Neurospora crassa OR74A: one gene and its partners. The protein of the gene in region 6 purifies or fractionates together with the protein of the main gene of each other region. This does not show direct contact. Links are inferred from orthologs where the notes say so. Each region holds a gene or a part of one and is shown on either strand. Other genes may lie near its edges.

Region 1 (4,385 bases), on a different chromosome or scaffold from region 6:
TTGACAGCCCTTTGAATAACATAGAATCGGGCTGTATTGCTTAACGTAGAGTAAAAATGGAAATATGAGATGTGGCGTGTGTTCTTCCCATGCTATCCGTACTTCCCGTCTTCTTGCCCGGGCTCCTCTTTTTTTTCCACCTCAGGAGAAGAAGGACTCGCAAGAATCGAGCTGACTGTCCGCACAATGTATAGGAAACTGCCACAGCGACCTGACATGGCTTTGTTGTCCCCTTGACTTTGTCCGAGCCAGTATGTTTTCATGTAGACAGCTTTCACTCGATTCAGCGCAGATGGTCTCTTATTTCTCCTCGTGTCCCGAGCACTGAATAGTGTAACAACTTCCCGGGTTCCATTATTTAGTTTACTTCCAAGTCTCGAGGTACTTACTACCTACCTTCAAACTCGACCGGGAGCCGCCAAGCTTGCGTGTCAGTAGAGACATCGCCAACTAAATTTCCAGAAGCCCAGCTCCCATCCTTCAGGCCTTCCAGGCACGCACTGCCTCAGCTCGGCGACTCTTTCGTCCGTTGAGGTTTACTCTATCTACATCACGCGAGGCTAACAAGGGTCATGACGATTTACATCCATCTGAGAACTCCTTGGAGAAGTCATCCGCCCCTGGTGTCGTGGCCTAATGAACTTGACAGTCAGACAGTCTACATCGAGTCACGCTGTTGGATGACGGTTTGTGATGTAGAAACACCTGCAATGCTGTACTATGAAATCAACACCTAAATCCTCCTAGAATCACTGCTTTTGTCCCGTATAATATCATCCCTTTACGCACAAATCGACCCTTGTTCCGGTTTAGTTCGCATATCTGCTCCCATCCTTGCGCTCTGACGTGCCACTGCTTCAGGGGTCAGGACGAACTATCCTGCTAAGACTTATGAGAGACAACCACAGCGTCAAGGCAGGTGCTGAAGCCAACTCCTCATGTGACCAATTCAAATTCTGTAGAATGGTTATCGATCCACCACAAGCTCCGGCCATCCGCACACTCCTGTTCTTCCTGAGCCCACGGCCACCCCGGTGCGGTCATGCATGACCCTCAATAATTTGGAACTCAGACGCCAAATGTCATTGGGCGTTCTGCCCCTTGCCTGCGTGGTATAGTGGTATCATTTTCGTGTTCATTCAGCGATCAGCGTTTAGCTCTGCTTGCACTCAGCAGCCTCCTGCTTGGGCTTGCTGCCGTCCTCCTGTGAAATTTGTCAGCATACCTGCAGAGCATAGCATGTGTTGGGGAAAATTCAGAAAGTCTTACATCGTCTTCATCGCTCTCATCCTCGTCATCCTGGTCCTCGCTGGCATCTTCATCATCCTCATCATCCTCATCATCGAACTCGGCGTCCTCGAAGTCCTCCTCATCGAGCTCCTCAAAGGCGAGGGCCTCGCCAGTGAACCAGTCGATGGCGCGGGGAATAAGCTTCTCCTTGATATCCTCACCGAGCTGGTAGTCGAGCTCAAGACGCTCCTCAATATCGGAGGTGGTAGACTCGTCGTCATCAGTGGGGGCCTTAGGGGGGGAGAAGAAGTTGAAGAAAGACTCGGTAGGAACGGTCTTCTTGACGATGCGGGTCTGCTTGGTGGCTGTGCAATTTGTTAGTGAGCAAGTTTGAGAAAATTCAAGCTGGAACTGCAACTCACTCTTGTTGCGTTGCTTCTTCTGCTCAACGCGGACAGTAAGATCCTTGTCCTCCTTCCAGTTGATCTTGTCACCCTCGGCGTGATCGTAGATAAAGTCGCCACCATAGCCGCTCTCGTTCTGGTAGTAGTAGGTCTTGGTGATAGTCTTGTTGGTGAAGTACTCGTTCTCAGCGAACTCGAAGATGAGGCGGAATCCGGGCTTGTCAAGGTACTCCATGCGGATGTCGGTAAGGGACTTGAGGGCCTCCTCGTCGCGGTCGGTGATCATCTCGGCGAGGGAGATCTGGTTCTTCATGGCAGAGAGCCAGAACTCGGGGATACCAGAGACCTTCTCGGCAGACTCGGTAGCCTTCTCCTCCTGGGGGGCGGCCTCGGTCTCCTCATCCTCCTCCTCCTCATCCTCCTCACCGGCCTGGACCTGGTCCTCAGTGGGCTCAGTCTGGCCGTTGACAATGGCGGCACGCTGTTGGTAAAGAGGAGTGAACTTGGCAAAGTACTTCTTCTCGAGCTGGAGGACCTCCTCCTGGAACTCGGCCTCGAGCTTGGAGTGCTCCTTCTGAATGCCCTTCAGGCCAGCGACACGACGCTTGACATCGGTAGGGAGAGACTCAATGTAGCCGGACGAACGACCGACAAGAGAGCCGAGACGACCCTGGATAAGGGACACAAGTCTAGGGTCCTTGGCGAAGATGGAAGCGGCGGCGGCACGGTCAAGATCCTCTGCAACGAACAGTAAGTTTAGCGACAAGCCCAGAAAACTACCAAATAGTCTCAGCAGCAGCAAGAATCTTCACTCACCCTCCTTGATGCTGGCAACACCGGGCTGCTGAGCGTGCGACGAGATGGGGGCAGTGTTAAGAGGAGTGTTCTGGGGGGTGCTGAAGCGAAGGCTGGTCAGTAACGGTACGCGATACTCGGGATGGGCATCCCATCAAGTCTGGGGATGAAAACTCACGGAGCGATGGGGGGATCAGCCCGCTTGTTTCTGATGGGCTCGGCCATTGTGTCTGGTTCTGGTCAAGAGAAGGAAATGAGTTGGGATACAGAGAAGGAAGCGGTGGTAGAACCCTGCGACCGACGTACAGTGGATGTCGGAGGGAGAAATGGGAGAAGGAAGGGCAAATTTGGATTGAAGAAGCGGTCGGGTGTAGAGATTGATGAAGGGGCCCCGGTGCTGGTGGGAAAGGCAAAAAGTTCTGTGGTTGCCGGTCGGTCCAGGCAGAGAAGGCTTGTTGTGCAGCAGTGCAAGAAATGTTGAGCGAGGGTCGGGTCTGGAGGGGACCGGGAGGGGAGAAAAGCTATCAATGGGGTTGCTATGAAAATTTGCGGGGCACTGGCCAGTGCGGGCAGGACAGTCGGGTCGAGGGCACTGCAGCGGGAGGCGCCCCGTTGGACCACTCCATGATGCCTGCACTGCGCCGGCGACCACCCAGCCCCAGTCCGCTACTTCCATTTGCTGCCCATGAGTCTTGTCGCTTGCCCTACACCACCACCTAGAGGTATTTGACCTTCAATTCTATTCCAGCATAGGCAAGGTGCCCATTGTCATGGGTCACGTCTTTTTAGGGTCAAGCTCCTCCTGTCACTTGTTTGACTCTACACTCGGCCATTGCATGCCCGGTCTGCTCGTCTGAACTGAAAATCCCCTCAGGTACCTACGCCTAGCCAGATGAACCTAAACATGCCATTGTTGTTCTTATCGTACAAAGCCCGTTCATGTACATCGCATTCAGGTAGTGTATTTCCAGGTTGCCCGTCGCGCGTCGCTTCCTGGCACCACATGCTTCAGCATTTGGCTGGCGTGTCTTGCGTGCTAGCGTTCTCTCCAGGGATCCCGGCCAGAGACATGATGTAGGGTAAATGATATTGGTGACATGCCGGCTTCATATACACAAGTTACAAGGTACCTCATAGGTGCAAGATAGTTTAGAAGTTGCTTTTCGTCTGAACTGCGAGCTGCTAATATTGGACGGGTGTTTACATCTCGCCTTCTCACCGGCGTCGGGCTGCGGTGATTTGCTTCTAACGTTTAGGGTCTCTCAACTCAATTAGGCCTCCAGAGCCGGGCAGGTTTTGGAAGGCAAACTTGAAAATTCTGCTGATTCACTCTGTCCTCAGCAAGTCAAAACCTCATCAGCAGAGGCAACTTGACGCACACTTTTCTGCTTATGACTTCGATTATGAGTCGACGCTGGGTTCAGCGACCATCATCGGACCGATCTGAACCATCATGGCCGTAGACCGTCGTGGGCGTCCAACCTAAGTCCAGGTGAGATGCTGCAGTGACCCCAGTACACGACGTACGGGCACGTATGGAGCACGTTCTCTCACGTTGTGGTGTAGTGAGACCGCTCGCGGCATCTGCCAAGTGATCATCGCGATGCCCACGAATCTCCATCGCCAACTGAAGCCGACAAGGTTTGGGCCAGAATGACCCTTGTTGCACTGTGCTTATCGTAAAAATCGTGGATAGCGACCCCCATCTCCGCCATCGACCTTTCTGGCTAGAGGTATGTAAGTAGGCAAGCGTTAGCGGACATGCTTGGCATTCGATTGGCGGGCAGTGTTGAAAGAAAAATCCCATGCCTGTGACTGCCCCACTTGCTGACTGCCCGTTGGGACGGTCTGGCCCCGATCCTTCTCCGTGACTCCGGCGTCCAGGTCAACAAATGTGAAGAAGTCAGACAAGAGGATTCTAGCTGGAGTCCATCATTCCCATCTCCAGTCATCGTG
Region 2 (3,557 bases), on a different chromosome or scaffold from region 6:
CGCGATTTTTTTTGGACGGGACTGTTTGGACTTTGGACGACGACCGCCCGCCCGCGCCGATTCCCGCGATACCTTCGGGACCCATCCTGACGAAGCGAACCGGTTGCAGCTCTCCCCCCCCAAACATCCACCACCACCACCACAATGTTTGGGGCTTTCAGATTCACCAACCCCCTCTCCGGGGGTCTTCTTTGGTAAGCGACTACCCTATGTTGCAGTTGCGCCAAAGGTTCTACCGGAAATGCTAATCATGTCGCGGCAAACAGGAAGATCCCATGGCGCATGTCCAAGTTCCAGAAGCTCAGGCAGCGCCGCAGACTGAGGGCCGTTGACAACGTCGTCGCCACCATTGAGAACGCTCTTGCCAAGAAGGGTGAGACCGTCAAGGCGGTGGAACGCTGGAGGGCTGAGATGCCCACCGAGGCCGAGATGCTGCCCAAGGACAAGTACACCATCTTCGACCGCAAGGAGAAGAGGTACCGCAAGGGCATCCACAGTACGGGCCACCCTTGTGCATCACTTCACAGCAGTCAAAGACCAAGGCTAATACGGCATTCCTTTTCCAGAGCTTCCCAAGTGGACCCGTGTGTCCCAGAGAGTCAACCCTCCCGGTTACTAAGACCTTCGACCCGGACGATGGACGATATCGTGCAAGCATGTATATCACTTGTAACATTACGCAGCGAAATGGCATGGGTGACATTGGAGATACCGCTAACAGGACCGTTTGCTTGGGGCAAAGAAGAGGAGGCCTCCTGTCTCGTCTCGCAAAGAGACTGACTGACTTGGAGGTCCTGTCCATCATGGACACTCCTGCTCGCTCCATGTTGAGATACCACTGCAGAGAGCAGCGCAAACACGGCCAGGCGAGCATCACAGAAGAATGTGTGGAGCCATACCGAATGGATGGGAAATCAATAATTTCCCGAAATACCATAGCAAGATACCAATACAACAACGAATATCATGTCTTCCAAGGGGGTATTTGTCTTTTACGCTTCTCTGTTCCGCCTCCACTTGCCCTGAATGAACAAAATTCGTAATTTCAGAGCCGGCTTGCATATTTTGTGTCGATTTGTCATGACGACTGGTTGAATATCTGTGCACTGGATCATGATGCACTCCCTCATTGTCCCACGTAACTCCCATGCAATGACAACTCTAGCGCAAGCGGCCGTATTGTTCGTCGTTATCGTCGTAGCGCTTGTGGTCATGCTCCCTCATTCTCTCGGCCTGGATTTGCCGGCCAAGACCACCGCGGCCCTCGTCGTAGTCCTCACGGTACTCATCACGAACTTGGCCGCCCGACTTTCCACGGCCGTACTGTCGCCCTTCCTCGAAGCCTGGGTCGAGATCGGTTCGGATGATGCGCTCGTCCAACTTGGTGCCGCCAATGTACTTCATGCAATCGAGAGCGTCCTGATGGGTGTAGTATTCGACGAAGCAGAAACCGCACGGTGTCTTTTGTAAGCGATCGAGGCCCATGACCAAGCGCTTGATCTCGCCGCATTTGCTAAAGAGTTCGTAAACCTGTTCTTCGGTAGTGTAGAAGGAACTGCCGAGGTACATTCGGTTAGTTCTTGTTTCTTTTGATTTTTTTTTGATTTTTTTAATTAAGGACTGGCAGCGTGGGGCAAACTTGCAGATTGCCGACGTAGAGCGTGGTCGCATCCTTCAACGGGTCATCGAACGCTTCGGGATGCATGTTACTGTCTTCGTTTTCTCCATCGCGGTGGTCCCGGTCGTGACGTCTGTTGCGCCTATTCTGTGTTGAGTGGATGGGTCAGCGGTCGACGGGGTGCTAATTATGGACAGGAGAGATTGGCAATGTTTGGGCATGGAAATGCCGTCAGGAGCACTCACCTTGTTGAAAAAGTATGCACTTGGCCTGTCAAGGCGCTCTACGGTGCTCCTTTGGCGAGTGTTCAACATGGTTACCTGGTAGTGAAGATGGATTATCTGCTCTTGGGTGAAAGGTGCCCTGCAACTGCGAAGAAGAAGGAAAATCAAAAGCTGTCAGCCCAAGTGGAAGTTCAATGGTTTGGAGTTCTGAGACGTCGATGGGGATGATGCAGTGGTTTCCCTTGCCAATGGAATTGGACCTACCTAAGAGGTAACTTAGGTTGCCCGCTAAAGTGGAAGTACAGGCGCAGCTACTTTCTGAGCGCGACTGGTGTGCCCGTGTACCGCGACAGCAGCACTGCAGGCTTCGTTCACAGTTCAGTTCAGCTCAGGTCAGTTACACTTAGTCCTGTTGGCGCACAGTGTCACAGTGCATCGGACATCACTGCATGGCAATCCAGGTAGTCTTGGCACTGTAACGGGCGACGGAAGCCGTTGGTGGTGGGTCAGGTACCCTATCTTACGAGGTGCCCGCAAATATGACGACGGCAGGCAAGGGCAGAGCGATGGAAGCAAGGGCAGGAGGACTTGGTGGAGGCGCTTTGTCGTTGATCCAACAACCATTGCCAGCCGATTGGACCGCAATCTGGCACCCAATTTACAGGCGCGTCACAGCACAACTGTACCTACCTCGGGCTTACCATTTATAGTATGTATACAGCTAGGTCTCCGTTAAGACCTCCATTCGGCCATTCCATCCCCTCTCATCCCGGGCGGCCTGCCTGTCTCCTGTTGATCAATGACCGATGGTGTGAGACGAGGCGGCGAGCACGGTCTGGACTGAACACCGGCGGACAGTTGAAACGGACTAAAGGGCTGTGGAAGGAGTGGAAACGCGCTAAAATGAAGCTAACACGATCGATCAAGGCAAGCAACGGAAAATATACGGCATAGGCACGGAAGCGGACGCCTCTAGTGACGCCCTGGACGCCTCATTTACAGCACTGGCTCGGACTGGACAATAGTGGCATCCAGCACTCGTCCATCCACGGGCATCCATCAGGTCCGTAGCACTACACGCTAGTCAAACCTTGTTGTTACCATCCTGACCAGCCAACCGAGACCACTAGCAAACTTCGCTTTCCTGGCTTTTTCTCCCATGGGATCGATCGAGGGGCCTGCCACTTCAAAAAGGGATCCCAATCTCTCTCCTTGTCTTCCCTCCCTTGGCTTCTGTTCTACTTGCTCTTGATCACCTTTTTTTTTTTTTTTTTTCATCTTCAAAAACCGAGAACCGCCATCACATTAATAGTACCGGTACATCAAATACATACGTACCTCGACCATAGTGCGCCTGCCTACCTACATAGCCAATTACCTCCCCACCTACATACATTACTTCAGCAGAGAAAGCGAAGTGCAGCACGACGACAAAAACCGGCCCGTGCATGCTAGGACATAGCAGGACCTCAACACAAGCTACTATTTCTGCCTAGCCAGACACCAACTTCGGTTTTCATTGCGCCACACGAACCACCGTCATCTGTAGGATTCATCAGGCTCGAGTTGGATAGTATAGCGACAACAGACAGCTCTTAGCACAAAACCACCAAGCACAGTCGGGATGCCCAAAATCCGGAGCTTCTCGGCGCCCTGGCTCCAGGAGCCAAACCCCGGCCATAAGCTCTTTGAGCAGGCCGAGGAAACCAACCGGC
Region 3 (3,598 bases), on a different chromosome or scaffold from region 6:
CTCGCTAAGCCTACCTACCACTTCCCTCTTTCCCCCCTCCCATAACCATAACCAAAACCATACCCTCTCTCTGTCCCCTCCCCCTTCCATATGCTTCTTCCCACATTACTCTACCTCCCAGTGGTTATGTACAACAGATAAACTAACATGCTACCTCCCACGTGTAGAGACCCACGCCCTTACCGATTCCTGCTGGAAGAAATGCGTCACCTCCCCCATCAAGACCAACCAGCTCGACAAGACCGAGGCCGTCTGCATGGCGGACTGCGTTGAGCGCTTCCTGGACGTCAACCTGACCATCATGGCCCACGTGCAAAAGATCACCAGGGGTGGCAGCAAGTAGGTCTCGCGCGCCGATAGGAAGGCGTGGGAGGATGCTTATCAGGAGGAGGAAAAAAGATGAGAACGGGACAAAAAGAAAAGAGGAGGCAGAGGAAGGAGGATGGCGAAAACGGTGACTTGTTTCCCTTGAGGAACTGGTTGTCCCGCGGGGCTGGCTGGCTACGTTTTTCGGTTGGCTGGTCCTGCTTGGTGGGCTTCTTGGGAGACTTGGAGGATGCGGCCGAGGTATCCGACGCTTGTTTTCATGGTGGTTCTGGCTGGGTCTGGTACACTCGGGCTTACTACGACGGAACGGGGGTACAGAGAAGCACCCTTTGCTAGGGAACCTTTGTTGATCCCTGCGATAGGGCTTGCGATTGAGGTTCTGGTCACAATTCTAAGAGACAGTCATTCGAGGAATTGTTACGGTTACGCCTGAAGGCTTGTACGATATATGTGATGGGACAGGGGAAGGATCAAAGGTAGAACTGGAAGGGAAAAGGGTTTATAGGGCATGGGAATTTGTTCAGGAACTTAGACAGTATGACAGGCGGTTCTTGTAGCATGATATGGGAGCGCGCGATAGCGGGATACTCATCTTCATCTTCAAACACAGACCCAATGCGCAGTGCAGGATAATTGGTTATAGAAGTGCAGATAACAATGCGACAATGAGTCCATGGTGATAGCAAGAATACAAGATGTCAGATTCAAGTCTTAGAGCAAGTAGATCTATGGCTTGCAAGGGAGGAGTTTGGATAATGGCCCATTTGGTCATGTCTGATGGAACGGGCAGAATAGTTATAAAAACTTTCATTTCCATGCCATGGACCAAACGCCAAAGGGGTATCAGACGCCGACTTCTTTTTCGTTAAACAGTAAAACCCATGTATCCCTTGAAGATAGTTTTTATCCCGAATCTTGTGTATTTCCCATAGCTATGAAATCGCTAGTTTAGACAAGGCCGAGCTTGGTGGCAGCAATGTCGAGGGCATCGACATCGGCAGTGAGGCGAGCGAAGGCCTTCTTGGAACCGTCAGGGCTGTGAGTGGAGTTAGCAACAAGAACCATATTAATGCCGGTCCATAGGGACCAAAACTAACCGGATCAGGGTGTTGATCTTGACGGTGTCAATGTCATAGAGCTTCTTGAGAGCCTGCTTGATCTGGGCCTTGTTGGCCTTGACATCGACGATGAAGACGAGGGTGTTCTGCTCCTCGATCTTCTTCAGGGCACCCTCGGTGTTGAGAGGGTGGACGATGACCTTGTGCTCATCGAGACGGGGCTCGTGAGGGATCGACTTGCGAGGGTACTTGGGAGCCCGAGACAGCTGAAGAGTCTTGGGGCGGTGGAAGGTGGTCGAGTATCTGACCTTGGTCTTCTTGTGCGAGTGCACCTAAACAGAGAAAAAGAACTCTAATCAGCATCAGAACGTCACCAGGGGGGAAGGGATCGCGAGTCGTCGCAAACTTACACCCTTGAGGGCAGCCTGGGCAGCCTTCTTGGCCTGAGCGCCCTTACCGGCCTTAGAGGCACCGCCTATCCATAGAGTCCCTCGTCAGCAAAAGCATTCGCCTGGAGCAAGATGATGCCAGAATCTTGTCCAAACTCGCAAAGTCTGCTGCTGCTTTGGTGCATCACCTCCGAATGCCATTGCGCGACACGGAGGATCCGCATTGTGCGCGGGGCGAGCATATTTGTCGAGCCGTTCAATTCATTCTTGGTGGAATCGTCGCTGGTGAGATTTTGAGGTTTCTTCAAGTACCTTTCTTGGTATCCTTAGGGGCCATTGCTGCGATTTCTGCTGTCGTCGGGCTAAGAAATCGGGATTCTCGCTGGTCGTTGTCGGAGAGGAGAAAGTTCACTTTTTGGCCAAAATTTGGGGGAGGAAAAAGTGTGCGCGCGGGATTTGTGTGGCTTGGTAGTGTGGCTGAAGTGGTACTGGCAGGGGTTGAGCTGCGCAAACTGGCGCAAACGGGCTCTGAACCACACCAGAATATCCACTTTCGCGAAATATGCTCCACAGTATTTTGAATCTCGACCTCCGATCATCACTTTATCGCTACGCACTCCGTCATTCAACCTTGAAGGTCATGATGCGCCCTCCGATCCAGCTTTCCTCCTTCTGCTCGTGGTCTGTCGGATGAAGTCGGTGCAGGACACCTTGGATTTTCACAGCTCCAAGCCTCGCTGTTCTGTGCCTATCACGACCTCCAGACAAGGACGTGGTGTAGTTGTCTTGCTAACTACAGTGTCACGAACCACCAATCGAAATCGAAAACCAATCTCACCGAGACGGATCACAGTATCGACAAGATCGACTATTTGCGGCTATATACTTGTTACAGCATAGCACGCGACGAAGGACTATGGCACCCAAGAAAGGAGTAAGCAAGAACCTTGCAGCTGGGCGTCCGCCCATGGCTACGCGACCTAAGAAAAAGGGAGTGGTCAAAAACCTGGCAGCAGGCCGTCCGCCCACGGTCACAAAGCCCAAGTCACTTGCGCGGAAAACCACGAAATCCATCATCAACAAACTCCATCTCCTAGAGAAGAGGAAGGTGCAGGCTATGAAGAAGAACGATAACACACAGGTCGCGGCAATTGAGGCGGAGATCGAGGCTTTGGGTGGTATCGAGAAATATCAGGAAGCAAGTCTCCAGGGGCAGAGACATGACCGAGGCGGCGACAGCTCCAACGTGCTCATGGAGTGGGTTGGGCCGTACCTCTCATCCGAGGAGTATAAGGAAGGCCGCTTGCGCATGCTGGAAGTTGGAGCGCTGAGTACAAAGAACGCATGTGCTCAAAGTAACCATTTCGACATCACTCGGATCGATCTCAACAGCCAAGAGCCTGGGATTCTTGAGCAGGACTTCATGGAGCGCCCGTTGCCGAAGGACGAGTCGGAGAAGTTTGACATCATCAGCCTTTCTTTGGTGCTCAACTTTGTCCCAGACCATAAGGACAGAGGCGAGATGCTGGTCCGCACGACACAATTTCTAACATCGCCGAAGCGGTTCTCCGGGACAACCGCTGCATTCTTTCCAAGTTTGTTCCTTGTGCTACCGGCCCCATGCGTCACCAACTCGCGATATCTGGATCAAGAGAGGTTAGCGGCTATTATGGAATCGATCGGGTACGAGATGGTGGAATCCAAGACAACCCAACGGCTGGTCTATTACCTGTGGAGGAGAACATCAGATCAGGTTGGAAACGACAGGCCGTTTCGCAAGGAAGAGCTACGTTCTGGCTCGTCACGCAACAACTTTGCCATTAC
Region 4 (4,243 bases), on a different chromosome or scaffold from region 6:
ATCTGAGAAACACCTATGCCGGTGCGTGGGAAATCATCCATCGCTCAGGGCACATTTAAGCCTTCTGCTCCTCCGGCTTCTGCTCCTCAGCCTTGGGCTGCTCGCCGTTGGCCTCAGCGGGCTGCTGGGTGGGCTGCTGGCCCTGAGTCTTGAGGTACTCGTCATACACGGCAAGAGCCTCCTGGACCTTGACGTTAAGAGCGTTGTCATCCTCGAACCTACAGAGAGACAGGTTAGCGATATGTAGAAGAGTCAGGAATAGACATGTAGACTTACAGGTTGATCAGCTCAGCGTTGTCCATCTCGAGGAGCATGCCGGTGATCTTGCCAGCAAGAGCGGGCTGGATGGCCTGGATCTTGGGGAAGAGGTTCTCGCCAATGATCTGCTTCTGGGCCTGAGGATCCTGAGTGGTAGCGAGCTGAGCCTGGAGGAAAGAGCCAGCGCTGAGGTCGGCAGGAGCGCCAGGAATGGGGGAGGCACCACGGCCGGCAGCCATAAAGTTAGCGTTGCCGCGAGGAGTGCCGCGACCGCCACCGTTCTGGGGACGACCGGCAGGGGGGTAGCCGGGAACGGCAGGGCCGCCCTGGAGACCCTGGGGAATACCGGCGGGGATGCCCTGAGGACCCCGGCCAGCGGGACCGCCACGGCCACCACCAAGAGCACCAACCTGGCCCATAGCAGCCATGTACTGAGGGGTGTTAGGAGGGAAAGCACCAGGGCCGAACTGGTTGATGGGGTAACCCATAGGGGGCATCTGCTGGGGAGGGACGCCACCGCGGCCACCCTGCTGGTAGGGGTACTGGCCAGGGCGACCACCCTGAACGCCGGGGACGATACCACCCTGGGGGAAGGGGACGCCACGACCGCCGGGGGCGGGCATGAAACCAGGCTGCTGACCAGCGTAGTAGACAGGAGCCTGCATGTACTGCTGGGGCATACCAGCCTGGGCAGCGGCCTGCTGCATGCGGAGCTGGTTGCGAGCCTGGATGCTGGCCTCAAGCTGGCTCTTGCGGACATCCTTGCGCTGGGCAAGAGCGACGTAGAGGGGCTTGCCATCGACCATGCGCTGGTTCATCTCAGTGACGGCCTTGGTGGCATCATCGGGGTTGCTAAAGCAAACGAAGCCGAAGCCCTTGCTCTTGCCGAGCTTGCGGTCACCCTTCTTCTCAGTCTTCTTCTCAGAGCCCTCATTCTGCTCCTCCTCCTTGGTCTCACCCTCCTTCTTGTTCTCCTTGTCCTTCTCATCCTTCTCCTCGGAGCCCTCGATCAGAGAATCGCGCATGACCTTGGCGGAGGTGATGGGGCCATACTCAGAGAACATGGCACGGAGCTTGTCGTCATCGACATCATCGCCGAGGTTCTTGATGTACAGGTTGACACCCTGGTACTTGTTGGCCTTCTCGAGGCGGGCAGCCTCGTAGGACTTGCGGAGCTCCTCCTCGCGCTCGTGCTTCTTCTGGGCACGGCCGACGTAGAGGTCCTGGCCACGGAAGTCCTTGCCGTTGAGCTCATCAACAGCCTGGGCAGCAGCCTCGTGGGTGGTGAAGTTGACGAAACCGAAGCCACGGGACTTGCCCTCCTGGTCACGGGCAAGGGAGGAAGAAGTGACCTCACCGAACTTGGCGAAGAGCTCACGGAACTCCTCGTCGGTGACCTCGTTGTTAATGTTCTTGACATAAACGTTGGTGAAGTTGGCCTTCATCTCCTCGAACTTGCTCTGGCGGTCCTTCTTGGGAATGTGGTGGCCAACGTAGACCTTCTTCTCGTTCAAAAGCATGCCGTTGACGTGCTTGATGGCCTGGGAGGCAGCCTCATCGGTCTCGTAGTGGACGAAACCGTAGCCCTTGGAGTTACCGTGCTCATCCTGGGCAACCTTGCAGGAAAGGATGTTGCCGAAAGCAGCAAAGGTGTCGTGAAGAGCCTTGTTATCAATGGCAGCGTCGAGGTTCTTGATGAAGATGTTGCCGGCACCGGTCTTGCGGAGGGCGGGGTCACGCTGGGACCACATGATGCGGCAAGGGCGGCCCTTGATCAGGGTGTAGTTGAGCTCCTCAAGAGCCTTCTCGCCGTCAGCGGTGGTGTTGTAGTTGACGTAGGCATAGCCGAGGGAGCGACGGGTGACAGCATCGCGGCAGACACGAATGGAGGCGACAGAGCCGATCTGGGAGAAGAGCTCGAAGAGCATGGCCTCGGTGACGGAGGGGTCAAGCTCGCCGACATAGAGAGAGGCGGAAGCCTGGGGGTGAGGGGCAGCAGTGGGGGTAGGAGCAGCCTCAGCACCCTCGGCCTGGGCCTCGGGGACAGCGCTGGTGTCGATGGGGGCCGGGGCAGCGGCCTTGTTGTCGAGGCTGGTGTTGCCGAGGTCAGCGGCGAGCTGGTCGACAGCGGCGGTAGAAGTGGCAGCCATTTTTGCTGGTTAAACTGTAGATTCTGTATGATGGATGGAACTGTCAGCGTCCGTATCCTTTTGTGTGTGTCTGTGTCTCTGATCAAGGCGCCGAGGGGTAACCGATGTGTCGACCGACGACGACAGCGGAAAGGAGGAGGAGAGGACAAGTCTCAATTGACGTGACGTTGGGCGGGCGGCACTGGCGGCGGCCACGGCGACGACGACAACGACGATGGCAAGGCAGGAGGAATTGATAGTGCGACGAGCAACGTACCCGAGATCTAGAGTTGTGTGGAGCAAGTAAAACCGGCGCGGAGAACGGGCGACGGTATTGACAAAGAGGGAGGATGAACTCGACTGGTCAAGGACGAGATTCGGGAGAGGGAGAGGAAGACTGGTGGACTTGGAGACTTGGGTAAATGTCTTCCAAAAAAGGTGGGTGGATTTGGTGGGTTTTATGGGGTTTTGTATGGATGGGGGGGATTTCTCTTTTTTCGGCGATTTTCAAATTTTTTTGGTGAGGTTTTGTTTGTCACAGACAAGAAGTAGATAGAACAGAGACCGAGAGGGTAAATGTTCGTACTTATCTGACTTCTTTCTGGCTTCGGTTTGGAGGAGTTTCCTGAGGATAAAGGGCGTGAGGTCCGCTGAAGAAAGAAGAGGAGGAGAAAGAGGGCAAGAAGCAACGACGCCCGGATGGCTCACGTCTTAATGCGGAGGTCAGATTTTTTTTCTTTCCCGCCCACGCATCTTGTGGTTGCGCACTGTGCCGCGCCCCTCGTAGCCGGTGAAGTGCGGCTAGGGCGGTCAGGGCATGCGGGTATCGGGGTGGCATGGGCTGCAAAACCTTGATTTATCGATAGGACCCGCCAGGAATTCTCGCATAAAGGCATCCATCCACCTGTGCAGACTGCAGACCAGACCGGAGATCCAGCGAAACGTGCGACTTCCAACTTTGCCTGGCACTTCCACTTGCTCCCGGGCCACCACCTGAGATCAAGCATACTTACGGTACTGTGGTCGACCATGGCTGACGACGACTCATGCCAACAACAGGCAGACATGGGCACTTATTCATGAACCCTGGAGGGTTGTTATGAAACCCTGCGTTTCAGCCGTACCTATTTGGTATAAACCGGCGAGATTCACTTGTATTGAATCACGGGACATTCCATCTCAGTTGGCGGTTGGAGTTGAAGATGCAATAGGTTACAGCGGTGTGCCGGATTTTGGCACTGGGTCGCTGGCATCTGTCCCATCACCATGGAACAATGCTAACGACCGCCTTACCTTTCTGGAAGTCCGCTAGCAAACGGCATTGCTGCTGCATTCGTGCCACGGGCATATTTCACACCAGACAAAAATAGAGAAGTAAAACGGATGTCCTGAGTATCAGCATTCGCAGTCCATTTCACCTGCAAAAAAGACATTGTTGGCAAAGCCGCGCACGGAACCTTGGATGGGGCAACTTGGCCGGATGACCTGCCAGGATGTTGCAGTCATATACTGGTTAGCCAGCGGCAAAAACCAAAGTCTGGAACAGGGCATCTTGGGTACTCGAACAGTTCGAGCGTAATGACACATCCTAACATTTCGACGAAAAGGTTTTGGTCCTGATGGCGGCTGCTGTCTGTTGAGGTTGGTCCCATTGTGGTGATTGGTCCCTGTGCCGGGTCAAGTCTAACATGGAAAAGAACAAGATGTCAAGATCGGCTTGATACAAATACCCGAACCAGTCCCACCCGAGTTGCTGCTGGGTTCATCTGGAAAAGGAAGGAACTCGTATGAAGATATTCATATATCAAGACTACCTCCACCACCGTTAGCGCAGCAATTGGCACGGCGGACACCAC
Region 5 (3,784 bases), about 1.1 Mb from region 6:
GCTCGTCTCTCTTGACAACTCTGTTGGACTTTCTCCCTCGCATTGGCAAAGAAGAGTCATTGGCTGTTTCGGTGTTGAGAATCCTCGTTGTGCTGACCAGAGATCACGCGGTAGCCAAGATTGTTGGGGAGAAGAAGAACCTGCAACGGCTGTTTGTTATGGCAAAGCAGTTGTGCGGTGCCGGTTCCACGCGTCTCAAGCAGACTCATATCTCAGAACACATCCGCCAGATCCTTCGACACATCATTGAAGACGAAGAGACCCTTCGGCAGATTTTTGAGACGGATATCAGGCACCTCATGACTTCGAGGCAGAGGCCCAGCGCAGCCCCGGGCCTTGAACCACAGGCATACCTGCGCACTCAAGCGCATTTAGCTCTGCGGTCGCCCAAGACCTTCGTCGAGGTTAGCACGGAGCTGCTCAAGCTTAACCGGGCCGTTTCGCACTTGGGAGACGGAACGCTGCGCTCCACGCCATTTTTGGTTCTCAAGGAGCGCCCTGCAGATGCTAGTGTCTCGCCGAAGGAGAGCTCAGTCGAACCTGCAGTGCAAGCGACAGAGGATCTCACTATCAGTGACGTCAAGCCTTCAACCGAGGTGACGGACAAGGATATGCACGATGCCCCTAAGAACCCCGCTCAAGACCTCAAGCGGCCGATTCTCGAACATCCCGACGGTGTTGTTCACTTCTTGTTGACCGAGCTGCTCAACTATAAAGATGTTGACGAGAGGGAGAACGTTCCTGCGCCTCCCGCAGCCGCCTCCAAGCCAGAATCTGATGCCACTGCTGCGAATGAGGCTACTCCTTCTCCTTCCGGCGATGAGCAGAATTCGGAGTCGAAGGAGAAAGAGAAGAAGCTGGCCAAGTCCCCGTTCAAGGCCGAGGATCACCCTATTTTCATCTATCGTTGCTTCTTGCTTGACTGTCTTGCCGAGCTGTTGCAGAGCTACAATCGTGCCAAGGTTGAGTTTATCAACTTTAAGCGCTCCGCCCCCGTCCAGGCGAACGCTCCGGTCAAGCCTCGATCCAGTGTGCTAAACTACATTCTCAACGATCTTCTTTGCTTCAGCCCCGCAAGCGGAGTACCCGAGTCGATAGCCATGAAAAAGAAGGCGGCAACGGCAGTGCCAGCGCGCGCTGTTCTGGTTGCCCTTGTTTCCAAGACCGGCGAGAAGCCTCAGAACCGTACCCATGAGCCATTTGAGTATGACGATGAGCCGGACTTGCTCTTTATCCGCCGATTTGTCCTGGATACCATACTTCGAGCTTACAAGGATGCTTCTGTCTCCGGCGAGCCGGCTGATATTCGATACGGCAAGATGAACGCTCTTGCAGAGCTGATGGCCCAAATGATTGGCGAAGGAGACAAAGATTCGCGCCCCAACAACCCGCGCGGTACAGATCCGTCAATCGGACGGTCCCAAGCTCAACTGAAGCGACTCATGTATGAGAAGGGTTACCTGACGTCCCTAACGGCGTCCATTGCCGATATTGACCTCACATTCCCGCACAACAGGGCTCCGCTCAAGCCCATCCTTGCGGTCATCAAAACACTCTCAAAGACTGCAGTCTCGATGAGTCAATTGGGGCTCATCCCTGCTTCGGGTACAGCTGGTACCGACCAAGCCGAGGACGAATTCCTGTCCGATGGGTCGTCCGTCTCGGAAGATCTCACCGATGATCGCGAGGAGACGCCCGATCTTTATCGCAACTCCACATTGGGCATGCTTGAACCCGGACGTGATGATGAGTTCTCCGACGAGGACGAGGATGATGATGAAGACATGTACGACGATGAACAGTATGACGATGAGCTTGACTATGGCGACGACATGTCACAAGACAACGAAGACAACCCTAGTGACGAAGAAGACGACCTCGGCGAGATGGGCGAAATGGGAGGAATGCCCGGTCAACCTGGCGTTGTCGAGGTCCTTATGGGTGAGAACGACGACGAAGAGGACAACGATGACATGGATGACATGGACGAGGATGATGAGATGGACGAAGATGACGAGCAGGAACTTAGTGACGAGGATGAGGACGAGGAAGTCGGCTCCGAAGACATGGATGACTTGGAGGACGATATCCACATTGTTGATGAAGAGGGCAATGCTATTGATGACGACGGTGCGTCGTGGGATGATGGCACCGACGAGGATGAAGAGGATGAGGAAGAGCTCGACTACGAAGCCGAGGCTCAGAATATGCAGGAGGCTCAACTTCACAACCGTCGGACCTTCCCCGAGATCATGCGAGCTGCCATGGAAAATGCTGGCGATGATCTTGATGCTGAGCCAATTCGCGACTTTGATGGGCACTACATCGACGATGATGAAGATGGCGAAGAAGACGGTAAGTTCCCAAGATCCTTTGGAAGAGTGAGCAAGACGGCTAACTCCAATAGATGATGAAGATGAAGGGGAAGACGACATGGATGATGACATGTACTTCGACGGCGATGGCCTTCGTAAGTAATCAGAACGAATTCCTTTACCAGACCTGGTAGCTGACACGAGAAGCAGATGATGACTTGCTTGCGCCCAACATGCCATCAGGGCTTGGCTGGGACATTGCCATCGAACCCAACCATCGACATCGACCGTCCCGAAGCCCTTGGCCCAACAGTCCTTTCGTGGTCGGAAGACACCGTGACGCGATTGGTAAGTTCCTTAAATCCTAGGATATCATCTTCTTGTTCAGAGTGTTGACGATTTGTCAGACTTCCAAAACTTCTTCCGCCGCCCTGCCCATCTCAGCAGACATCTGCCCCCTCCGGCCGACGTCATGTCTGGAACAAATCCCCTGTTGCTTCCTCAGTCTCGTCGTGAGGTTCCTCGTCATGCACACAGCCAGCTGGTTCGTCTGGGGATCACTCCGAATATGATTGGAGGCCTAGGAATGGGTATGGGGGTGGAGCCGTTGGCCTTCATCAGTGATCTCGTCCAACACCTACCCGATGTACGTCTCAGCGCTGGAGGAGGACCCTTGGCCTTGCATTTCACAGCAGACGGACCGGGCGGGATTATCCGCGAACTCAACGCCATCCCAATTCCTCCCCCGCACTCCCGCGAATCACGCCCTACTGAAGCTCGGCGCGATACCTATCAGGAACCTCATCAAGCCGTCCAATTTTCACCGGAATCTACACATGAGAGGTGGCAACAAGAAGTCAAGATGATCTTTGGCTTCGGCTACCAGGACAAAGCTCAGAAGCTCGCACCTCTCATTCTTTCCAAGCTCACGCCGGCAGCAATCCAGGCTGAGAAGGAGGAGAAAGCTCGTAAAGCGGAGGCAGATCGCAAAGCAGAGGAAGAGAGGAAGAAGCGACAGGAAGAGGAGCGCAAGAAGAGAGAGGCCAAAGAAGCGGAAGAGAAGGCTGCGCGTGAGAAGAAGGAGGCAGAGGAGCGTGAGCGCCTTGAGCGCGAACGAGCCGAAGCTGCCGCACAGGCCGCGGCTCAAGCCGCCGCAGATCAAGAGGCAAATGCTGTGTCTCAAGAGGCGCACCCTATGGAGGGCGTTGAGACTCAAGGCCCGGGCGAAAACGCCGAGCAGCAGGCCGAAGATGAACGTCCTCGTGTCTACTACACTCTCCGTAACCAGCAGATCGATATCACTGAGCTGGGCATCGATGCCGAGTATCTTGAAGCCCTTCCTGAAGAGTTCAGGGACGAGGTGATCGCTCAGGCTATCAGCACCCGGAGATCCCAGGCGCGAGAGCAGGTTTCTCAAGAGGGCGAAAACACCGAGGTCTTCCAAGAGTTCCTTGAAGCACTCCCGGAGG
Region 6 (4,566 bases):
ACATTAACTTCCGCCTTTTTCTTGCCCGGAAGCGCTCGAGGGTCCTCGATCCACGCTGATCTAGCTGCTTGAGCTTTCTCTTCTGGTCTTGGGATGCACAATTTACCCTCCGCAGGTGTAGCTCTCTGTAAAGTACAGAAAGGCAACGCCCTGCGCATGCTAGATTTGGTCGTGACTTGCGATGTGAAAAGGACCACTGTGGATATTGCTCCCGCTTCGCTGACATATATGTCCGTTGCGCTCCAACAATTTAGTAGCAGAGGCGAGCTATTTGTTCGAAATTATATTCATCGCCTTGGGGTACTGGGAGGGGAAGACGCTTAACAGGCGACCAAAGGATAAGTGACAAAGTGCTGATAACAACACCAAATTGTGACCCTTGGCCCTTTGGCAGACGTGTCCTGCCGCAATCCATCTTCCATCAGAGGGACCGTAAACGACAGGAGCGAGATGGTAGGTCGCGGCGAACCAGTCGCAGGTCATACAGCATTCGCTAATAGAATAATAGTGGAGAGGCGATAATTGAAGGTCGTCGTGAGTCTGGAGAAAATTTCATCAAGCTGTTGACCTAAGCTGTAGACCCTGCCCGAACCCGAAATAAAATAGTAAAACAATCATAGACAATCCGAAATCCGTCAAACAAAGTTGTCGCTGAAGCTGGCATTCGCTCTCATCGACTGTTGCTGTTCCTCATGCATACCCTTCGTTCAAAGAATCTCGTCCTCCATGGGAGCATCACCACCGTTGGCAGCGGCCGGCGCGGCTCCGGTGGCGTTGTCCGTGGTGCCACTCTCGAAGTAGTCAGCCATCTCAGAATCCAACTCCTCGACGGTCTTCTTGGCAGGGCGGGCGCTGCGAGGGCGACGGGGACCCTTCTTGCTGCCAGGCTTAGCAGCAGCAGCACCCTTGGGGGCGTTGGCGGCATGCTTGACAGTGGCGGCAGACTTGGGCTGGGCCTTGGGCTGTGTGATACGCTGAGTCAGGCTCTTGGGCTGAGGGATCAACTCGGCATTGGAAACAACGACCTCGACCTAGGGGAACGTTAGAAAAGCCAGAACCAGAAGATTCATACAATGGAGAATGAGCGTACCTTGACCGGGCGGTTGTCAATCAGGAGACCGTTGAGAGTGTTGTACGCCTTGGTAGCACCATCGGCGTGGTGGAAGGTAATATGAGCAATACCGCGGCTAGTGCCTCCGGGCCCATACGAAAGTTCCACCCTCTTGACCTGTCCAATAGCTTGCTGGAAGTATTCCTATCACAGGGTAATTCGTGGTTAGCGTCGTGCGCCAGTTTCAGTGTGGTCGTGTTCGTAACGGTTCGGTTTCAAATCGGTCAAAGCTAGGGCATTATCTCGAGCCGGCCCAAAACCAGGATATAGCCAGAGCAGCGCGCGTAATCTCCAGGTCAGCAACACCAGCAACTGGCAGGTGAGCCGAAAATCCAACACTCACTAGAGCCATCCATACGATCCGATGCGTCTGGGCCCACAGCCCGTAAAGCAGTAGGACGTGTGAAGGGATCCAGTTATGCCAGACAATCCAAGCATGGTCCAGTTGATGTGATGCCGTCCTCTCGTAGAATTCCCGAACAACCACGATGCTAGACCCCGGTTCCCCGGAGTTGTAAATCCCCTGATGGACCAAAACCCCCCAGAAATCGTCCAACCAGGACATGAGAAACAGAGCCTCGAACATCGCTCACTGCGTGGCGCGCTGGGGTGCAAAGATCGACTTCAAGGTGACCAGCCAGGAAGAGATGATGCATGACCCCCCAGCTAGGCTCCCATACAAGATTTGTCTGCCGGATCCTGCACTGCTTGTCCCTTTCCGAACCAGAGGCGCTTGCCAGCCACCACAATGATAAGGAGGGGAGAGCGTGACTGCGATCTGCTCAACTCGCAACATGACGAAATGTAATGACACACGTCAGGGAGGAGCAATCAACGGCAGTCTTGATGGCCTAGGGCCGATTTGCAATAAACGACCGTCCCGACCGCCCAGTGGAGAAAACGACGCCGATTGGATACGCCACGGAAGAGGGATGTCGATAAAAGTCCGAAGGCTAAATGGCCTCATCGGTAATAACATACCTTGATCTGGCCTTCGGAAACGTCCTTGGGCTGCGATGGGAGTTAGCGGTGAAGGATGCTACGCAGGAGAAAGCTGGAGGACGCGACTCACCAGGTTGCTCACGACAATCTTGCTCTCGCCGGTAAGACCAGCACTCTTTGCGGGCGCCGGCTTGGCAGCGTTGCGAGCGGGCTTTGTGTTCTTTTGGATACCGCCAGCGGGGGCAGCATTGGTGGGCTTACCGCCAGCCGAGCGGCGACCTCCACGGCCGCGGGCGTTGGACTTACCGCGGCGCTGAGTGGAGAGAATCTCGTCGAGAGACTGGTCGAGCTTTCCGGACATTATGGCGGTGGGTTGCTGGAAAGTGATTTAGAAGTGGTGAGAAAGACGAGACGCGTGGTCAAGGTGGCTTCAGAGATTAGGAAGCGCGGACGGGCTCAGATGCGCAGTAGAGCTGGCGAAGGTCGCGTTGGGCAGAAGAGTGATAGGGAGGTCAGGTTACGACTCGCTGGTAGCGCAAGGTCGCGTGAAGTCGAAGCGGAGCAAGGGTCGCGCTGCAACGGAAAAGGTGCAGCGACACTGTGATCTGATCGACTCGAATGGCAAGTGGAAATGGACGTGGTCAGGCTGACGAAGTTGGATGCAGTCCTGCGAGCAATGAAAAGAATATGGGTCTTGAGCGGATGGGCTGTATCGGTGATGGACTTTGGCTTTGGCGGTGATAGTAGGTTGTGTTGGGGAATAGGTGGTGTTGTTTGGGTGATAAAGTGGTGAATGGGCGAGAGAGGTGAACGAGGGGGGGGCGGAGGAGGGAGTAGAAACCGGTGTCCGCCCAGAATTTGAGGGAGAACCGACGGGGACCGGAGCCACCTCGCTGCGCTTTCGTCAAGGCTTGGCAGGCTGAGCAGGCTCCCGCCCATACACTACTAACTTGCGGCCACACGCGCCTGTCCTGAACAACATCCAACGTGACGGGATCCTTGCCGCACTGGCCACCCCACCGCTTTGGCTTCGCTCAGAAGGGGAAAGAACAGTCATGGCCAATCACAGCCTTGTGGCAATCGCTTTGGCTGATGGCACTCATTGGTACGCTAATCTCTTTGGGGCTAGACCCATCCCTCCTGACGCAGCTGGGCCGTTCTGTTATGGTACCGGTACCTGCGATGGCGGGACACATAGCCAACTCTCCGAGACGCGTCACCACTTTCAGGGACCCTTTGGAGCTGTGTGTCCTTGTTTATGGATGTTCTTATCCCACACACTCCAAGCTTCCACTTGCTTCTTCAGGGACGTTTGCAATTGAGCTCTTTCACAAGCGGAAACAAAGAACGACCCCTTTGCACATAACAAAAGAACAAACCATATTATTAGTCAGTCATGCTACCCAGAGCGCTTGGCACCCTTCTGCTACTTAACTGGTGACATGATACACCATGATCCGAACAAAAACTGAAATCCAGTGCAAGAGTCTGCTCCTATGCATTGGGTCAACCATGGGGTATCAACCGACTCTGACCCATTCAATCCTCCTCGGCCCGAAACCTCGTTACTTTCCTAATGCTATGTCCCTGTATTCCTTTTGTGATTCCGGGGTTCCCTTCCCTTGCATATCGGTTGCGCCCCAGACCAGCTCTGTCCTGCTCTGCCCTCAGTAGAAGAGAGTGTTCTGTAGGCCGTCTGTCTCCTGTCCTTCTCGGCCTCGCCCCAACCAGATGTCCCAAGGGCGGGACAAGCTGTATCGTGCCGTTTGTGAAATATAGTCTCTGTCTTCGTACCGTACAATTTTGCGGACGCTGTGTCCTATTTTGCCTTGGTCGGGGCCGATGCCACCTTTGTTGCCTTCTTCTCCTGGACAACATCGGTTTCGAGATCTTCGGCATTGGTTTCGAGGAAGTGGTGGAGAACAATAAGAACCATGGCCGCGCACCCGAGAACGATGGCGAGACGGTAAAGTTCGGCGTCAGAAATCATTGTGTCGTTGGCGTAGGAAAAGTCTGTGTTGGGTATTCGTTCGGTGCCGTAACTGGTAGCTGTAGACTTGTTGCGACTCGCAATGCTTGGAGGGGAGTTCAAGTGGGTCCAAAGGGCGCTGTTCTGCTGCTCAAAAAGCTGTCAATCAGACGGCTGGACAGAGACAAGAAAATGCCGTGCTCACTTTTTCTTGGTGATGCCAATCGCACTGGCTGTTCTGCGCCGGGAGGACCGCAAATTCGAAAGTGATGATGCCGATTGTCGGGTGTTATGGACAGCTTTCCACCTTGAGGGCCGCGACGCAGCATCGATGTATCGGTACATCTCCATCCGTTCATTTACAAGAGGATCCGATAGTCACGTGGACGGACCCAAGCTGAAGGAAGGACCTCTTCTTTCGTTAGGTATACCGGCTGCGCTGCCCGGACCAACGTCAGGGCTTCTGTGGGCGGACACCCCAGCGCTTTAAATCCCGGGCGGCGTCAGTGGGCCCATTCCACTTTGGTTAGAGTTGTTTCAACCC
Region 7 (4,350 bases), on a different chromosome or scaffold from region 6:
AAGAATATTAAAGAGGTTAGAAATTGGACTTTAAAAGATAGTTGTGGCTAGTATAGAATGCCTTCGCCTGGGTTCGAATTCCCAATAGAATACCTCGATAAGTTTTATCTCTCTAGGGAGGAATAGTTCCAGAGGATGTTCGTTGCTAATGGTTAGTATAAGTAAAGCTTGTAATTATATGCGTATTGGGCTATAGTACCCCTCGATCTTCCTTAGGTTATTTTTTTTTTCTTTTTTTTTTTTTTCTTTTTTTATATTATTATCCTTAGGTTATTATTTACAACTAGTTTCATGTGTTGTCTTTATTTAGAGCCGGAATTAAAGTTTTTTATTTTTTTTTCGTTATACTTTCTTATTGTTATATTTATATTAAGGAATATATATTTTATACTATTATATCGAAATAGTCCTAAAGGAGGCGTATTTGGGGTAGCCTGAGGTGAATATTCTTATTGGCTACCTATACGGTACCCGTACTCTAATTTTCTTATATACCTAGGTTAGAGTTTTAATTTACAATTATTAGAAAGGGAATAATAGGAATTACTTCTATAAAGAATACCCGCCACTTAGGTAGCTTAGATAAGTAATTTAATATAGCGCTTTCTCCCCTACTACCTACCTCTATCAATATAAGTGTAATATTGATTGAAAATTGCTGTGAAATAATTGTAAGGCTTTTGTTACTTAGAATAGATATTAATTGTTGAATAAATAAATATAATTAAACAATTATTATATTAATAAGAATATTAGCTTGCAATTAGCAATTTAAGTGAGTATATTTATTATGTTGTATATTTTGTAGTTCGGGTCGTATTGTTGTGGTACAGTTCGCTGTTGTCGTACTTTTGTGCGCTGTTGAACGGTTAATTCCGTTTTGTATACAATACCGCGTTAATAGTCGTTGTACTATTAATTAAAACTACGTATTGTAAAATAAAACCAACTTCAATACAACAATATTCAATTATCTAGTAGATTACAGTAAGAAACAATATTGTGTAAGGATGTTGTAGCCCACAACCCCTGCTCAAGCGTTTTATACTATAAAGGCCTGCTACGCCCACTTTTGTCAGACCCCCCATTCCCTCCAGGGCAGTTCCGTTCCGCTCGTCGAGGGCGGAGGCTCGCTTGAGGTTCGTTACCTTGAGGTTCAGTAGTAGCTGGTGCGGGGAGAGAGCTGACAGTGACAGCCGGGAGCCTGATGAGGTGGCGGAGCGCTCACTACTGGCCTGGCCTGGCCGGGCCGAGCGCTAGTACCTAGCTCTAGAGGTACCTCTACCTCTACGACCGACGCTCACGCCGCCCCCAGGCACACAGTCAACCCGCGTGGGGCAACGGAGGCCAACTAGAAACTGCAGTGTGTCACAGCCTGAACACCTAGCCAGCCCGGAGCCCAGGACCCGACACCTTCTCCGTCCCATCCACACCTCTGACGGACCTTCCACTTTTGTTTCTCTTGCGGTTCCATCTCGTAGACATCACCCACTTCTTCCTTTACCTCCGTCTATCTCGAACATAGGCCGCCAACGTCCTAGGCCACTCCTCGGATTCTCAACCTTTCCGCTTTTCTTAGCACTATAGTAGCTTCTTTTCCCGATTGGCGCTGTCGGTTGCTCCAAGGACACTCCTCTTCTTCCCTTCCATAGACAGCATCTTCAGTCTTGGACCTTGCTGCTTCGTCCCCCCTCGGTTTATTGCACCATTGCGATCCCTGGAGGCTTCGCTATCTAGAAACCCGGCCATTATTATTCAGTGCCGGCATTTGAACGACCAGCTTGACGCCTCTCCTTCGCCCCCTGACAGCAGTAACTAAGTAGACTCCCCGTCTGCGACATCTCCTGCGACCGCTCAGCGCGCCCCAATTTCAGACCTCCTTCGCAAACTTCTAGTAGTGTACACATCTAGTCCGGCACCACAGGCCACTTAGTCAACATGGGGTATATGACTCCCACATCAAAGCTCCTCCCTCGCCGTATACGCGCGCGTTGTTCAGGCGTGTGGCTAATACCCCCTCTTGTCCAGTGTTCCCAAGTTCTTCAGATGGCTCTCGGAGCGGTATCCCGCCATTTCTCAGCTCATCGCCGAGAACCGTATCCCCGAGTTCGACTGCCTTTATGTTCGCTGCTCCCTCCCGAGGCCTGATGGCTGTCTTGCGTTACTTGCCTAGCTAACCGGTTTGCTCAGTTGGACATGAACGGTATCATCCACAACTGTACCCATAAGGACACGAGCGATGTACAATTTCGCATGACAGAGGAGGAGATGTTCATTGCTATATTCAACTACATCGAACATCTCTTCGGGAAAATCAAGCCCAAAAAGCTTTTCTTTATGGCTATAGATGGCGTTGCCCCTCGCGCAAAGATGAACCAACAGCGTGCTCGTCGTTTTCGTACCGCGCTGGACAATGAGAAGGCTAGAGATAAGGCGATTCGTGAGGGCAAGGAATTGCCCAAAGAAGAACCTTTCGACAGTAACTGCATCACACCTGGTATGTCTGGCGCTGGTGCCCGCTTGAATGTTTTCCCCGGAGGCTAACTAGCTGCATAGGAACCGAATTCATGGCCAAGCTCTCGCAACAGCTGAGATATTTCATCCATAAAAAGGTCTCGGAAGACAGGGACTGGCAACAGCCCGAGATTGTCTTGTCTGGACACGAGGTCCCTGGTGAGGGTGAGCACAAGATCATGGAGTACATCCGCAATGCGCGCGCTCAACTCGACTATGACGCGAACGTCCGTCACTGTTTGTATGGCCTCGACGCCGATCTGATCATGCTTGGCCTCCTCAGCCATGACCCTCACTTCTGCCTTCTGCGCGAGGAAGTTACCTTTGGCCGCGGCCCGTCTAAGCATAAGGCAAAGGGACTGGAGGAGCAAAACTTCTATTTGATGCATCTCTGCATAGTCCGCGAGTACCTGGAGCTGGAGTTCCAGGATCTCAAGAAACCTGGAGCCATGTCTTTTCCATTCGATATGGAAAAAGTTATTGACGACTTCATTCTTATGGCATTCTTTGTCGGAAACGACTTCCTTCCCAACCTTCCGCGGCTTCACATCAATGAAGGCGCTCTTTCGCTCATGTTTAGGATCTACAAAGAAATTCTTCCGCGCGGCGACGGATATATCAACGAGGGCGGTAAGGTCAACCTCCAGAGACTCGGCCTGCTTCTGGAAGAACTCGGCAAGGAGGAGTATCGCTTTTTCGAACATGAACATGAGGATCAAAGCTGGCTTCGGGCCAAGAAGATGCTTGAAGATAACGAGGCAGAGACAGCAAAGGCAAAGACCAAGGGCAAGCTCATCGTCACCACGAACCAGAAGAATCTCTGGAAGCAGAAGATCAGGAAATTCCTTATGAATAGGAGCACTAATACGCTTGACCTCGGTACCGAGTTGAAGGCCGAGGACCGCAAGTTTGTCCAAGACTTGGCTGATACTGCTCACATTCCTTGGGCAACTAAGGAAGATGACGAGGGACACCGCCACCTAATCCTGTCCTTCCCCGAGAGAGACGACGAGTCGGAAGAGGACGAGGAAGCCCAGTCAGCCGTTCTCCGTATCATCAAGAAGTACGACAACGCCCAAGTCCTGGATTTAACTGCGGCCGACTCGAAGGCTGCCATGGAGGTTAAATACCAGCAAAAGTTCCAAGAGTGGAAAGACAAGTACTATGCCGAGAAGTTTGAGGATTGGACCCCAGAGAACAAGGAGGACGAACTCCGCAAGTTGACGGAGAATTACGTCCAGGGTCTTCAATGGGTGCTCTACTACTACTACCGTGGTATTGCTTCTTGGCCCTGGTTCTATCGCTACCACTACGCTCCCCTGATTTCCGATGTCATGAAAGGCCTGAAAGCCGACCTTAATTTCAAGATGGGTCAGCCGTTCAAGCCATACGAGCAGCTGATGGGTGTCTTGCCAGACCGCAGCAAAAAGATCGTGCCGACAGCATATTGGGATCTTATGACAAACCCCAATTCTCCCATCATCGACTTCTACCCAAGAGACTTTGAGCTTGACATGAATGGCAAGAAGATGGATTGGGAAGCCGTTGTCAAGATTCCCTTCATTGACGAGAAGCGGCTGCTTGCAGCAATGGGCCCCAAGAACGAACTTCTCTCGGACGTTGAGAAGTCGAGGAACGATTTTGGCGTCGCACTCAAGTTCACTTATTCCGATTCGGTAGACTTTGAATACCCTTCCTCCCTTGTCGGAATCTTCCCGCCCATTCCCCACTGCCACTGTATCGAGAACATTTTCGATCTTCCGCCCGTGGAGGGACTGGAATATCGTGTTGGCTTGACCGACGGTGCTCTGCTGAACGAATCGGCGCTGGCCGGAT

The links.
Region 1: the proteins of NCU01793 (region 6) and naf-1 purify together in Saccharomyces cerevisiae (affinity purification with mass spectrometry; 5 studies listed by BioGRID, with this or other methods). This does not show direct contact. The link is inferred for Neurospora crassa OR74A from reciprocal best matches to the Saccharomyces cerevisiae genes YRA1 and NAP1.
Region 2: the proteins of NCU01793 (region 6) and NCU00210 purify together in Saccharomyces cerevisiae (affinity purification with western blotting; 7 studies listed by BioGRID, with this or other methods). This does not show direct contact. The link is inferred for Neurospora crassa OR74A from reciprocal best matches to the Saccharomyces cerevisiae genes YRA1 and CBC2.
Region 3: the proteins of NCU01793 (region 6) and NCU06226 purify together in Saccharomyces cerevisiae (affinity purification with mass spectrometry; 3 studies listed by BioGRID). This does not show direct contact. The link is inferred for Neurospora crassa OR74A from reciprocal best matches to the Saccharomyces cerevisiae genes YRA1 and RPL25.
Region 4: the proteins of NCU01793 (region 6) and NCU04799 purify together in Saccharomyces cerevisiae (affinity purification with mass spectrometry; 3 studies listed by BioGRID, with this or other methods). This does not show direct contact. The link is inferred for Neurospora crassa OR74A from reciprocal best matches to the Saccharomyces cerevisiae genes YRA1 and PAB1.
Region 5: the proteins of NCU01793 (region 6) and NCU08501 purify together in Saccharomyces cerevisiae (affinity purification with mass spectrometry; 3 studies listed by BioGRID, with this or other methods). This does not show direct contact. The link is inferred for Neurospora crassa OR74A from reciprocal best matches to the Saccharomyces cerevisiae genes YRA1 and TOM1.
Region 7: the proteins of NCU01793 (region 6) and NCU06678 purify together in Saccharomyces cerevisiae (affinity purification with mass spectrometry; 4 studies listed by BioGRID). This does not show direct contact. The link is inferred for Neurospora crassa OR74A from reciprocal best matches to the Saccharomyces cerevisiae genes YRA1 and XRN1.

What each region holds. Positions count from the first base shown.
Region 1 is NC_026505.1:4,745,722-4,750,106, forward strand, and holds naf-1 (nucleosome assembly protein), read right to left. Parts: upstream 2,929-4,385; 5' UTR 2,655-2,928; coding exon 2,608-2,654; intron 2,531-2,607; coding exon 2,451-2,530; intron 2,373-2,450; coding exon 1,653-2,372; intron 1,596-1,652; coding exon 1,270-1,595; intron 1,205-1,269; coding exon 1,154-1,204; 3' UTR 450-1,153; downstream 1-449. UniProt on the Saccharomyces cerevisiae protein: Acidic protein, which assembles histones into an octamer (in vitro). Involved in the regulation of the localization and the function of the septins during mitosis. Involved in the function of B-type cyclins.
Region 2 is NC_026503.1:3,018,595-3,022,151, reverse strand, and holds NCU00210 (nuclear cap binding protein subunit 2), read right to left. Parts: upstream 2,124-3,557; 5' UTR 1,933-2,123; coding exon 1,864-1,932; intron 1,766-1,863; coding exon 1,644-1,765; intron 1,556-1,643; coding exon 1,162-1,555; 3' UTR 681-1,161; downstream 1-680. Other genes in the region: NCU00211 (mitochondrial ribosomal protein subunit L31), read left to right, coding at 145-194, 267-496, 567-619; NCU00209 (hypothetical protein), read left to right, coding at 3,467-3,557.
Region 3 is NC_026503.1:1,964,876-1,968,473, forward strand, and holds NCU06226 (60S ribosomal protein L25), read right to left. Parts: upstream 2,288-3,598; 5' UTR 2,112-2,287; coding exon 2,087-2,111; intron 1,861-2,086; coding exon 1,796-1,860; intron 1,718-1,795; coding exon 1,425-1,717; intron 1,364-1,424; coding exon 1,276-1,363; 3' UTR 785-1,275; downstream 1-784. Other genes in the region: small zinc finger protein Tim8, read left to right, coding at 168-343; NCU06227 (hypothetical protein), read left to right, coding at 2,691-3,598. UniProt on the Saccharomyces cerevisiae protein: Component of the ribosome, a large ribonucleoprotein complex responsible for the synthesis of proteins in the cell.
Region 4 is NC_026506.1:863,632-867,874, forward strand, and holds the start of NCU04799 (polyadenylate-binding protein), read right to left. Parts: upstream 3,079-4,243; 5' UTR 2,665-3,078; intron 2,432-2,664; 5' UTR 2,409-2,431; coding exon 277-2,408; intron 219-276; coding exon 56-218; 3' UTR 1-55. UniProt on the Saccharomyces cerevisiae protein: Binds the poly(A) tail of mRNA. Appears to be an important mediator of the multiple roles of the poly(A) tail in mRNA biogenesis, stability and translation.
Region 5 is NC_026502.1:3,442,826-3,446,609, reverse strand, and holds part of NCU08501 (E3 ubiquitin-protein ligase TOM1-like protein), read left to right. Parts: coding exon 1-2,355; intron 2,356-2,407; coding exon 2,408-2,470; intron 2,471-2,525; coding exon 2,526-2,663; intron 2,664-2,722; coding exon 2,723-3,784. UniProt on the Saccharomyces cerevisiae protein: Probable ubiquitin ligase protein involved in many cellular processes, such as transcription regulation, maintenance of nuclear structure, cell cycle, mRNA export and rRNA maturation.
Region 6 is NC_026502.1:2,392,376-2,396,941, reverse strand, and holds the start of NCU01793 (RNA binding domain-containing protein), read right to left. Parts: upstream 2,900-4,566; 5' UTR 2,415-2,899; coding exon 2,184-2,414; intron 2,123-2,183; coding exon 2,093-2,122; intron 1,256-2,092; coding exon 1,091-1,255; intron 1,032-1,090; coding exon 708-1,031; 3' UTR 1-707. Other genes in the region: NCU01794 (hypothetical protein), read right to left, coding at 3,873-4,043. UniProt on the Saccharomyces cerevisiae protein: RNA-binding RNA annealing protein. May have a role in pre-mRNA metabolism. Component the TREX complex, which operates in coupling transcription elongation to mRNA export.
Region 7 is NC_026505.1:4,231,996-4,236,345, reverse strand, and holds the start of NCU06678 (exonuclease Kem1), read left to right. Parts: upstream 1-1,373; 5' UTR 1,374-1,938; coding exon 1,939-1,943; intron 1,944-2,028; coding exon 2,029-2,122; intron 2,123-2,190; coding exon 2,191-2,497; intron 2,498-2,556; coding exon 2,557-4,350. UniProt on the Saccharomyces cerevisiae protein: Multifunctional protein that exhibits several independent functions at different levels of the cellular processes. 5'-3' exonuclease component of the nonsense-mediated mRNA decay (NMD) which is a highly conserved mRNA degradation pathway, an RNA surveillance system whose role is to identify and rid cells of mRNA with premature termination codons and thus prevents accumulation of potentially harmful truncated proteins.